2 linked regions of the Oryctolagus cuniculus genome follow. The protein of the gene in region 1 purifies or fractionates together with the protein of each later gene. This does not show direct contact. Links are inferred from orthologs where the notes say so. Each region holds a gene or a part of one and is shown on either strand. Other genes may lie near its edges.

Region 1 (5,594 bases):
GGCCAGAATAAAGGACGTAAGATATTTGGTTGGTCTCATAGCCTGACTCCTTCCTAACTCACACCTTCTCTCAGCCAGGTTAATCTTTACCAGCAGCCCAAGGACAAAGGAAGAAATACCCAGAGATACAGACTAGAACTCAAGAAATCAGATGGGACTCAGAGCCTTTGTTAAGCTCCTGAGAACATGGTAGGGAGCCAGGCTTACCTCTGTATGAATTCTAGCTGTTGCTAAGTAGCTGTGTAACCCTGGGTGAGTTACTAAGCCCTGTGAGGACTCCATTTCCTTGTTATAAAATGGCACAGAAAAAGTCTCTTGCCTAAGGTCAAACAAGGAAGCAGCGGAGCCAAGCAGTTAACATCCGTGATGCACCACTGCTAGAGGGAGGCCAAAATGCACAGGAGGCTGAGGAAGCATGTTGGGAACAAAAGAAAACGGCTAAAAAAATTAAAAAGGTCAAATTCACATCAGAAATATGGCAAACATACTGAATTTATAGAATAAGAGTAAAAATGTTACAAAAAAGGACAAAGTGGAGAATAAAGAACTCTTGAAAGGTAAAATGAAAGCTAAAATATCCAATGAAGTGATTAGAAGGACAGGAGTTTGGTCTAACGGTGAAGATGCCCACATCCCAATTGGAATGTATGGGTTCAAGACCCAGCTCTGGCTTCCAATTCCAGCTTCCCAACAACGCAGACGACTCAGTAACTGGGCTTCTGCCACTCAGGTGGGAGACCCAGATTGGGTTTCCAGCTCCCAGCTTTGGCCTGAGCCCAGCCCTAATCATCACAGGCATCTAGGGAGTGAAACAGCAGATGAGAGCTCCCTTTTCTATCAAATATAACTTTTTAAATTTTTAAAATAAAATAAAATCTTCCCCACAAAAGAACTAAAATATAAACTTAGAAATTATCAGAAAGGGTTCAATATTTGACTCAAAGAAAACTGTAAGGTAGATAAAATGGTAAAGCATCTGGAAAAAAGTAAGAAAATCAGACAAGAAGAAAAATATAAGGTAAAGATTGACTCAAGAAAAATCAATAGCTGGGGCCTAAAGTACCGACATCCCATATGGGCACTTGTTCTAGTCCCAGCTGCTCCTCTTCCAATCCAGCTCTCTGCTATAGCCTGGGAAAGCAGTATAAGATGGCCCAAATCTTTGGGCCCCTGCACCTGCATGGGAGACCCGGAGGAGGCTCCTGGCTCCTGGCTTTGGATCAGCCCAGCTCCAGCTGTTGTGGCCAGTTGGGGAGTGAACCATCGGAAGGAAGACTTCTCTCTCTCTCTCTCTGCCTCTCCTCTGTCTGTGTAACTCTTTCAGATAAATAAATAAATCTTTAAAAGAAAAAAAAGAAAAATCAATAGCTGGATCACAGGAAATTTTATTATAATTCATCTAGCTATAAAGGGATTGATAGCGCTATAACTATTTCAAAGAGTGAGGAAGACATGAGGAAGGTTTTAAGTTAAAGCTTCATCGATCATAAAAGGCAATTTGGACTCTAAATTATCATCAATACATAGCAATGCTTACAACAACATATATTATAAGTAATTTCTAAACCTTCTAGTCCTGAGATATGTTTTTTAAGATTTATTTATCTGAAAGGCAAAGTGACAGAGAAAGGCCTTCCATCCACTGGTCCACTCCCCAAATGGCCACAACAGCCAGGTCTATGCCAGGCCAAAGCCAAGAGCCAGGAACTCCATCCAGGTCTCCCACGTGGGTGGCAGGGGCCCAAGTATTCGGACCATTGTCTGCAGCCTTCCCTGTTGCATGAGCAGGAAGCTGGACCAGAAGCAGAGTGGCTGGAACTCAAACTGGCATTCCAATATGGGATCCTGATGTGGCAAACAGCCCCTTCACTCACTGCACCACAGTGCCAGCCTCCTGGTCCTGAGGCTTTAATCAAGGGTATAAGTATATGTGTCTTTAATAATTTTTCTTTAGTTTATTAAAGGTATTTTTAACAAACAAACAAAAAAATAAAATAAACAGAAGGGACCCAACTGTATCAGGAAAATAAGGCTTCATCCCTTTTTCTTGGTTCTCTGTACAAAAGATGCTGTTTAGCGTGTTCGGTTCTTCATCTTCTCTCTTGTTCTCTTTCCAGGTCTCTTCTGCAGGGAAAAAAGCACCACACCTAGTCAGTCACATTTCTTCCCCAGGGTATGAGGGCACAGGGGTAGGGGAAGAGGGAGAGGAGGCTGAGCCAGCCCCAGCCTGGGCCCCCGGCCCACTTACATTTGACCCTTTCTTTCCAGGCCTCTTGAGGCCCTTGCCATGAGCTGTTTTGGCCCGGAAGCTGGATACATCATCGTAGCTCTCACGAGTGTTCCACTTGGAGCCTTTCTTCTTTCCACCAAAACCAAACTTCTGGTTTTTATATCGTCGCTTAGCATTAGGCCTGCAAAAACGTGGTCCCATAGGTTACTCACTGCATAGTACATCCTGGTGAATCTGATGACCCAATGAGAGCCCCAGTTTCCTTTCTGTAAAACCCCTTAGGCATTACTGTCACCCACGTTCTTACTCTACAACCTCCCCAAGCAAACTCACCTACACATGATCTTAACCACCAGGGCAGGGAAACAAGTCCAGAAGCAGAAAAGGATCTGCCTGTACCATGTGGCTTGCAGCTATCTTTGGAAACCTGTGTCTTTTAACAAATCTTGTATTTTAACAAACCACCCTGTACTGTTTCTGGTCCTCTCAAGGATATATATATATGCAGTTAACATTCAAATGTAAAAAACTGTAAAGCCTGCCATCCCAACTGAGAAACCTCAAAGTCAGCATATGAAAACCACATGGTCTCCCTCTTCCCTGACCAGTCTCACTGCAGGGGGGGCTACACCATCCCCCAATGCTGAGAGCTCGCAGGCACTCTCTAGACACACACTGAGTCTTCCTCTTTGAGCTCTGAGGTATTTCTTCAATGAATTTCCCTTCCCTACCTCATTACCAGGTTCAAGTCATTGTCACTGCTCATCTGGACTTTTGTAAAAATATCCTAACCAATTTCCCTGCTTCCCTCAAGTCCATCACCCACATAAGTAGTATGGTAATCTTCTTCAAAACATCAATATGGCCTGCTCATTAATGTGAGTAAAGCCCATGTGTGTCTCCCCACTAGCTACCCATGCTCCTCAACAGTCAAATAACAGCCCAGGGCCCTCCGGCCACATCTCTCCATTCCTTGCCTTGCACTGTATTCCCAGTGATGCACACACACCTGCTGTCTACTTCTATGCCTTTGCTCATTCACATTCTTCTTCCTCCCCAAACCAGCTTAGCTTCTCTTCTCCTGATTAATTCTTTTATTTTTATTTATTTATTTATTTATTTTGACAGGCAGAGTTAGACAGAAAGAGAGAGAGAGAGAGAGAGAGAGAGAATTATAGACAGTGAGAGACAGAGAGAAAGGTCTTCCTTCTGTTGGTTCACTCCCCTAATGGCCGCTATGGCCGGTGCTGCGCCGATCCGAAGCCAGGAGCTGGGTGTTTCCTCCTGGTCTCCCATGCGGGAACAGGGACCCAAGCACTTGGGCCATCCTCCACTGCTTTCCTGGGCCACAGCAGAGCTGGACTGGAAGAGGAGCAACTGGGACTAGTACCCTGCGCCCCAATCAGGACTAGAACCCAGGGTGCCGGCGCCACAGGAAGAGGATTAGCCAAGTGAGCCACGGCGCCAGCCCACCTAATTCTTTTTTTTTTTTTTTCCTAACAGGCAGAGTGGACAGTGAGAGAGAGAAACAGAGAGAAAGGTCTTCCTTTGCCGTTGGTTCACCTGCCAATGGCCGCCGTGGCCGGCGCACCGCGCTGATCCGATGGCAGGAGCCAGGTACTTATCCTGGTTTCCCATGGGGTGCAGGGCCCAAGGACTTGGGCCATCCTCCACTGCACTCCCTGGCCACAGCAGAGAGCTGGCCTGGAAGAGGGGCAACCAGGACAGAATCCAGCACCGCAAGGCGGAGGATTAGCCTAGTGAGCCGCAGCGCCGGCCTGATTAATTCTTATTCATCCTTCAGGCTAAGTTTATGAAGCCATCTCTGTTCTGTGTCAAGTATTCCTTTTTTCTTTTATTCAGGATTTATTTACTTCAAAGACAGAGCAACAGAGAGAGAGAGAGGAGAGATGGAGAGAGAGCTTCCATCTGCTGGTTCATTCCCCAAATGGCCAGGAAAGCCAGGTCTGGGCCAGGCTGAGACCAGGAGCCAAGAACTCCATCCTGGTCTCCCATGTGGGCAGCAGGAACCCAAGCAATTTTGCTGCCTTCCAAGGTACATTAGCAGGAAGCTGGATCGGAAGGGGAGCTCCCAGGACTCAAACCAGCAATCCAACATGGGATGTGGGCATCGCAAGCAGCAGCTTAACCTGCTGTGCCAACACCAGCCCTTAAGTCAGATACTTCTAAAATGTGCTTGCATACTACTCCCTAAATGCTTCTGTCATAGCATTTACTTTATTAAATGGAAATGCCCAACCTTCCAAGGCCTGACATGTAAATATGCAGAAGGGAGCAATGATAGCCAACATCGTCCCTTCTCATCTTCACACCGCAGTGGGGCACCTACTCTGTCTTCCTGCTGGCAGATAAGCAGTATTTTAGAAAGGTCAAGTGACCTGCTCAAAGCTACCTCCTCATGAGCAGCAGGCAGCAGCTACCCCTCCAGCTCTTCTCTAAACCACCACAAGGGTGCTACAATCACAGTGATTCAACATTCACTAGAAGTGTGCCAGATACTTAAAGAGCTTTATTTTTTAAGTTTAATTTACTTGAAAGGCAGAGCAAGAGCAAGACATCTATTCACTGGTTCACTACCAAAATGCCCACAATAGCCATGACTGGATCAGGCCAAAGCCAGGAGCCAGGAATTCCTTCTTGGTCTCCAACCTGGTTGGCAGGGAGTCGAATAGTGAGTGATCATATGCTCCCTCCCAGAGTTTACACCAGCAGGAAGCAGGGTAGGAAGCTGCATTGGAAGGGGAGTAGGAATTCACACCCAGACGCTCTGGTAGGGGATGTAAGCGTCCCAGGCAGCACCTTACCCACTGCAGCAAACACCCACCACAAAGTACCTTATTTCAATCTTCAAAGACTGGTATGGCTAAAAGGGCCCCACACGGACCATTAGGTCTTGGTCACAGCCACTCTCTTAACCGAGGCTGCTCCTGCTGGAGGTCTGCAGTTACGCTCATCAACCGCTGGCCCATGGCACTCACAGAACGGAACCATGCCCAAACTTCTTACCCCTTCTTCATCTGCCGGCCCTTAGCTCCTGCCTGTGTGCCCTTGGCAACAGGTTTCTGATCTCCTTCAAGGAAATCCAGCTTATCAGAGAAGCCTGTGGGTGAAAAAGTACTTTGGTCAGCACCATTATTTGTAAAGAAGCAAAGTTTAAACCTTAAAGAATGAGGCTGGTACTTACTACAATGATTTTAAGAGACACAGCTTGCTACCCACACCATTCCCAAAATTTTGGTCCAACAGTTAAAGATCCATGGAGACGTCTTTAAAGCTCTGTGTTAAAATTAACGGTGGTTCCCAGTACCCCCGTTCCTTGACATCCTTGGCAGAGACATACTGA
Region 2 (6,248 bases), on another chromosome or scaffold:
GATTCACTTTGCATTCCCTTTGTTCATCTTCTGTTTCATTTTCCTTTGCCTCTTGTAAATCCTTTTCTTTCTTGCTTTCAAATCAACTTTAGGTTCCGGTTTCTCCCACTGTATTTCTATGGGTTTCTCTTCAGCTGGAGTAACAAAAACATCTGCAGTGGGATCATGGGGAAGTATGGTCTTCGGCTCTTTCTTTCTCAGTTTCTGCACGTCCTTCACTTGCTGTTTCTCTCTGTACTTTGCAGCTGTCATGGATCTTACAATACGCCGATGCTAGAAAAAAATTACACATTTTAATAAGGCAAAGACATTCACTTATGAAAACTATTTCCCTTCACACAGTGTCATTAAAAAAAAAGTAGAAATTTTCAAGTTTATGCAGCAAACACCAAATTCAGTTTCATAGGTAAAAGAGAACATTAATTATTTCATAGAAATGTTCTGGTACAACAAAGACCATTAACAATGAAACAGCTTACCATGTTTGGAGACTGGTAGTGAGGATTTTCATATAAAGTTGGTCCTCCAAAACTCCCCTGGAAAATCTTTATAAGATTTAAGACAAAACGAGGTCCTATTTCTACAAGAGCAGCATCTTCTTCTATGATCTTTAATAAAAAGGGAAACATTTCATTTTGGTTTGAATATACTATCCTAGAAGATATACTGCCTATAACCTCATTATAAGTGTGCCTAAATAACTTACAATCAGCAAAATTAAGGTAGAGGTGAATCCTGACAAGTGCCAATGCATCAATATTTTCTGAAATCTATCACTAGTTACACAGAGTTGGTATGACAAAATACAAACCTTTTCTTAGTGTGTCCTTTCAAATTAAATAATTTTAATTTGGTTCATATCTTGCTTCTCAGTTTAATATAAAAGCATTTTTGAAAACTTATTTTTTTTAAAAAATATATTTATTTTCATCTACTTGAAAGGAAAAGTGACAGAAACAGAGACAGGTATTTTGAGATCTTGTATCTGCTGGTTTACTGTACCCTCAAATGTCTACAACAATCCTGAAGCCAAGAGCTTGGAACCACATCTGGGTCTCTGACATGGGTGGCAGAGGCCCTAATACTTGAGCAAGCCATCATCTGCTACCTCCCAGAACACATTAGCAGGAAGTTGGATGTGTAAGTAATGGGATGTGAACCAGAACTCAGCTATGAGACTGTGGGCATCTGAAGAGGTGGCTTAATCTGCTGTGCCATGACACCTGCTCCTTAATAAGGTACATATTCTTTATTTTTTTTTTAAAGATTTACTTATTATTTGAAAGAAAGTTATAGAAAGTTGGAGAGGGAGAAGAAGGGAGGGAAAAGGGAGGGAGGGAGGTGAGCAGAGAGAGAGAGGTCTTCCACCCGCTGGTTCACTCCCCAAATGGCCGTGATAGCTGGAGCTGGGCAGATCTGAAGTCAGGAGCCAGAAGCTTCCTCTGGTCTCCCACACAGGTGCAGGGGCCCAAGTCCTTGGGCCATCTTCTACAGCCTTCCCAGGCCGTAGCAGAAAACAAGATTAGAAACAGAGCAGCCCAACGAGAACAAGCATCCATATAGGATGCCAACACTGTAGGTAGCAGTCTACCTGCTAAGCCACAGTTCCAGCTCCCAAGGTACATATTCTTGAAAAACTGTGTTTAAAATATATTTTTAAAGTTGTAGCCAACTAGAATCTGTCATTGTAGCGTAGCGGGTCAAGCCATTGCCTGCAATGCCAGCATACCATATGGGTACCTGTTAAAGAGTCTTGGAAGCTCCACTGTTGATCCAGTTCCCTGCAAACATGCCTAGGGAAGCAGTGGAAGATGACCTAAGTCCTTGGGGCTTGCACCAGGTGGAAGACCCAGATAGAGTTCCAGCCTCCTGGCTTTGGCCTGGCCCAGCCTCAGCCTTTGCAGCCATTTGGAGAGTAAGCTAGTTAGATGGAAGACCTATCTCTAACTCTGCCTTTCAAATAAAATAAAATAAATCTTTAAATATATTGTGGCCATTATTAATACACTGTTTTAAAGCACACCATGGGAGAACCCTTTTAAAGATTCAATCAAGTATATATTATTATTATAGATCTGATTGAAATCACATTAAAAGGCATGATTTTATTTATTTATTACTGATTATGAAATTAACAGAAAACTTACAAACGATACAAATTAAGAATGGGACACATTTAGCTCACACTGCAAGGCAGTCAGTAAAAAACATGCCAGACTAGCGCCTAGCTTACGACCTACACCATCTGAAATTTTATTGTCGCTGGTCTCTATCCCATCTCCTCCTTTCTGCAGACTTAATCCACCAAACTCCTGCTTTTTTCACCTCTTCCCTGATGAGTCACTATATGACTCATCCAGTAGTCCTCACTTTAAGCCTTCTAAAGGAGTAATGTTTTTCTCTGTCTTAACCAACCCCCAGGTGGATGGTAGCCTTTTAGAACAGAAACTTATATTTTACTGTATTTTATAATATTTGTATACTGTACTTTACTGTATCCTTTATAGCACTTAACATAAATTGGGAACCCAAGTACCTCATAGGTTTTCCTTCTTATAAAATGAAAAATATGGTGGCTTGTTAGGAAACTCAAACCCTGTATCAACTGACAGTCATGAGAAGAGTGCACAGAGGTCACTTCAGGAATGAGATAGAATTATCTGCAACAAATCTCTTAGGGTAAAGGAAGCTATTTAAAACAAAAGGGTCTGTTAATCTGATTTTCTGTGTCTCCAAGCCCTGTGTATCCCAATTTATTTTAAAGTCTAAATAAAATAAAGCTAACCTGAAAGTTCCGAAACCATATCCTATTATCCAAAATGGAGAATGTAAACACATGGTCCACAAATGGTTGGCTTTTGGGGTGATACCGTGGTGTACTAAAGATCTTAAAAGAAAAAAAAAGTATATTAGCTCCTTACAATATCACACATAATTCATGCTTTTGACAGTTAGCAAAAAGTCCAAAAGATGCTCACTTACAGTTATAAAACTATTTTCTGGAAAAGTTTTGTTTACCTGAATTAAGAGTTCTTTTAACAAAGCATAATGTGGTAATTCATCAAAAGCCTATAAAATAAAATAAACAGATTATTTGACAGTTGAGTGCACATTTAAAAACAGTTTTCTTTTTTTAAGCAATTACAACTATATCCACTAAAATACAACTGTGCAGAATAAGTAATTGTATCTCACATACTGAATGAGGAACTCACAGGATCAAAGGACAAAAGGGGTCGAGAACCTCTCAAGCAGTTTCCAGTCATCTTTAATTCAGCTAGGGTATGAACTAGAAAAAAAAAGTTGTAACTTTGGCACAATTACTCCAAAAGATTGTTTTAGCTTTCTCATTAAAAATATTTATAACTAAGTCAACTTACCATTTTGAACAAGGAATTTAGCAGATGGCCCATGAGGTGAATTTGAAAGCCTAAAGAAGGAAGTTTTTTCAATTAGTTACAATTTAGAATGTAGTAAATGCTAGGCACCTATTCCCAGGAAACAGCACAACATGCTTAAAATGTAAATGTACTTAGTTTTCTTTAATGGGTTCAAGGTTTTCCAAATTGAATAGTTTGTTTCATTTTATAGTCTTTTATATAAATGACTACCTATAAGAACTACCAAGAATGAATCCACTTCTGTAAGTTCAATCCAAATCTTAGTAATACTCTTACCACATATAGAGATCCTGTTTTTTCTTAGCTTCAAAATAGATGCATTTATTGCAGTTTTTCATTTCACAGACCTAAATGAAAAAAGTACACACATATAACATAAATACAAATGGAACTAAGTAATTCATCATAATATCCAGTTTCCTCTAAATATTTCAGTAGGTAACAAAGGTCTAACTTATTTATAGAAACAAACATTTAAAGTTCCTCTTAGACTTTCTACCCATGTAGAGTAGTCACTCTGCCTACCGCTTTGGCTTAAATATCCTATTTATTTATTTTTTTGGGCCACAGCATTCTATAGTATTAAGAGGTCTCACTTGGAGATTACTGGAAGCCTCTTTTCTTCTGACCATTCTCCAGTGAACAAACTGAAAATATGTCCAACACATAGCATTCTGCAGTCAACCCTACAAACATAGTGCTTATAGAACCAAAGACATTTCATAATGCTTATTTTGATTTTTTACTTTTTGGCTTTTTTAAGATCACAAAATTTAAGGTCTTCTTCCCCAGTTATAATTTCATTTCTGAAGACATGGTTCCATAAAATCACCAAGGGACTGGTGAGAAGTGTTAAGTACACAAAACTTATTTCAAATTGAACTGAACTTCATTGTCTTGAAAGTTTACAAAGTCATACTTGAGAAATATACAAAACACTACAGGAGCTAAGTCTTAAATTACTGTAGTACTGATAAACCATCTGATATAGTACTAATAAAGTCTAACTACTTGAGACTACACATCTACAAAAATGCTCCAGCTGTTTTTCTTTTGTAACATAAGATTGATTTATTTTGAAAGTCAGAGCTATGGAGAGAGAGCTCCCATACACTGGTTCACTCCCCAGAAGGCCACAAGAAGGCCAGGCTGAAGCCAGGAGCCTGGAACTCCATCTGTGTCTCCGACCTGACTGCAGAGGCCCAAGGACTGAGGGCATCTTGCACAGCTTCTGCCAGGCCATCAGCAGGCAGCTGGACTGGAAACCAGCACCCGTATGAGACGCCATCACGGTGGCAGCTTTATCCACTATGCCACAACACCGGCAGCCGCTTTTGTTTCTTACTAGTTTCAGAATAAACACAACTAGAGGAAGTGTGCGCCACTCCGGGCCTTTGCACTTACCTTCTTTTCTACCTAACACGCTTCCCAACTCTACCCTTCTTTCCCTAAAGTCTCTGCTCAAATACTCAAATATTAAGTTGAAAATTATCCCTATGGAAAGGTGCTTTCCCAGCCCAGACTAGGTTTTTGAAAACCTATAGCTTGCATCCTTATTAGACTGTAAACTTCATAACAACAGGGGCATTTTTCTATTTAACAATGTTTCCTCAGCACACAGAACAATGACACATTGTAGCCAAGGTTCAAAAATCTGTACTACAAGAATAAACAAAAGCTTTCCAATAACAAAACAGAATGAGAACAAAACAATTCTAAATTTCGGGGACCGGCACTGTGGTATAGCAGATAAAGCCACCGCCTGCAGTGCTGGCATCACGTATGGGCACCGGTTCGAGTCCCGGCTGCTCCCCTTCTGATCCAGCTCTCTGCTATGGCCTGGGAAAGCAGTAGAAGATGGTCCAAGTCTCTGGGCCCCTGCACCCTCGTGGGAGACCTAGAAGAAGCTCCTGGCTTCGGATCGGCTCAGCTCCTCAGCTCAGCTCCAGCCTTTGCAGCCATCTGGGGAGAGAACCAGCAGAAGGAAGACCTCTCTCTCTGCCTCTCCCTCTACCTGTGTAACTGTGACTTTCAAGTAAAATAAATAAAATATTAAAAAAAGAACAATTCTAAATTTTGAATAATTGGCTTTAAAAAATACCTTCAAGAATACACTGAAAATTTAACCTATCACTAGCTTATAACACTTTATCAGCAAATCCAAACACAGTATTGTGGGGAGCATTCGGACTAGACTGAGTTACTGGAATTAAGACTTATTCTATGCATCTGCTCTCCCACAATATGGCGCTGGGAGAGGAGGCAACAGCTTCTACCCAGCTGCCTCTCACCAACTTGACAAGCTGCAGGACCTGCTCCTGATTGAAGGAGAGCAGCGTACTCGGCGTGTGGGCAGCCGAGTTGGGATTGGCAGAGGAGGACTATAAAGGAGGAGAGAGACGGCATGCACCAGGAACATCTATGGGGAACATCTAGCTGAAGGAACACCCGTGCAGCCCCCAAGAGAGCCGGCCGGCGGTGTGCCGCTCCCCTGCGGAAGTGGGGAATGTGGCCAGGGGGAACTGCCCTTCCACGGAGGTGGAAGGGATAGTAACCAACCCGGGAAGAACCAGCAGCAAACCCGGGGAGGGCCGAGCAGACGAAAAGAACAGCGCAGGGTCCTGTGTCGTTCCTCCACGAAGAGGGGGAGCGACATAATGGTGCCGTGACTCGGATATGAAGCCTAGGCAGGATCCTGTGTCGTTCCTCCATGAAGAGGGGGAGCGACACAGTATATTTTAATTATTTTATTTTTACTAATTTCAAAGGTATCAACATAGATAGGAAGACAGAGTTGAACTCCAATGTGCCAGTTTACTTCCCAAAAGCCTGCAACAGCCAAGGCTG

Evidence for each region. The genes of interacting proteins can lie anywhere in the genome.
Region 2: the proteins of EBNA1BP2 (region 1) and BRIX1 purify together in Homo sapiens (affinity purification with mass spectrometry; 4 studies listed by BioGRID and IntAct, counting the BioPlex papers as one, with this or other methods). This does not show direct contact. The link is inferred for Oryctolagus cuniculus from reciprocal best matches to the Homo sapiens genes EBNA1BP2 and BRIX1.

Annotation. Positions count from the first base shown.
Region 1 is NC_091438.1:129,855,273-129,860,866, reverse strand, and holds the end of EBNA1BP2 (probable rRNA-processing protein EBP2), read right to left. Parts: intron 5,352-5,594; coding exon 5,258-5,351; intron 2,412-5,257; coding exon 2,249-2,411; intron 2,125-2,248; coding exon 2,074-2,124; 3' UTR 1,932-2,073; downstream 1-1,931. UniProt on the Homo sapiens protein: Required for the processing of the 27S pre-rRNA.
Region 2 is NC_091445.1:60,583,830-60,590,077, reverse strand, and holds part of BRIX1 (ribosome biogenesis protein BRX1 homolog), read right to left. Parts: intron 3,749-6,248; coding exon 3,678-3,748; intron 3,431-3,677; coding exon 3,381-3,430; intron 3,290-3,380; coding exon 3,216-3,289; intron 3,070-3,215; coding exon 3,019-3,069; intron 2,888-3,018; coding exon 2,786-2,887; intron 609-2,785; coding exon 480-608; intron 274-479; coding exon 4-273; 3' UTR 1-3. UniProt on the Homo sapiens protein: Required for biogenesis of the 60S ribosomal subunit.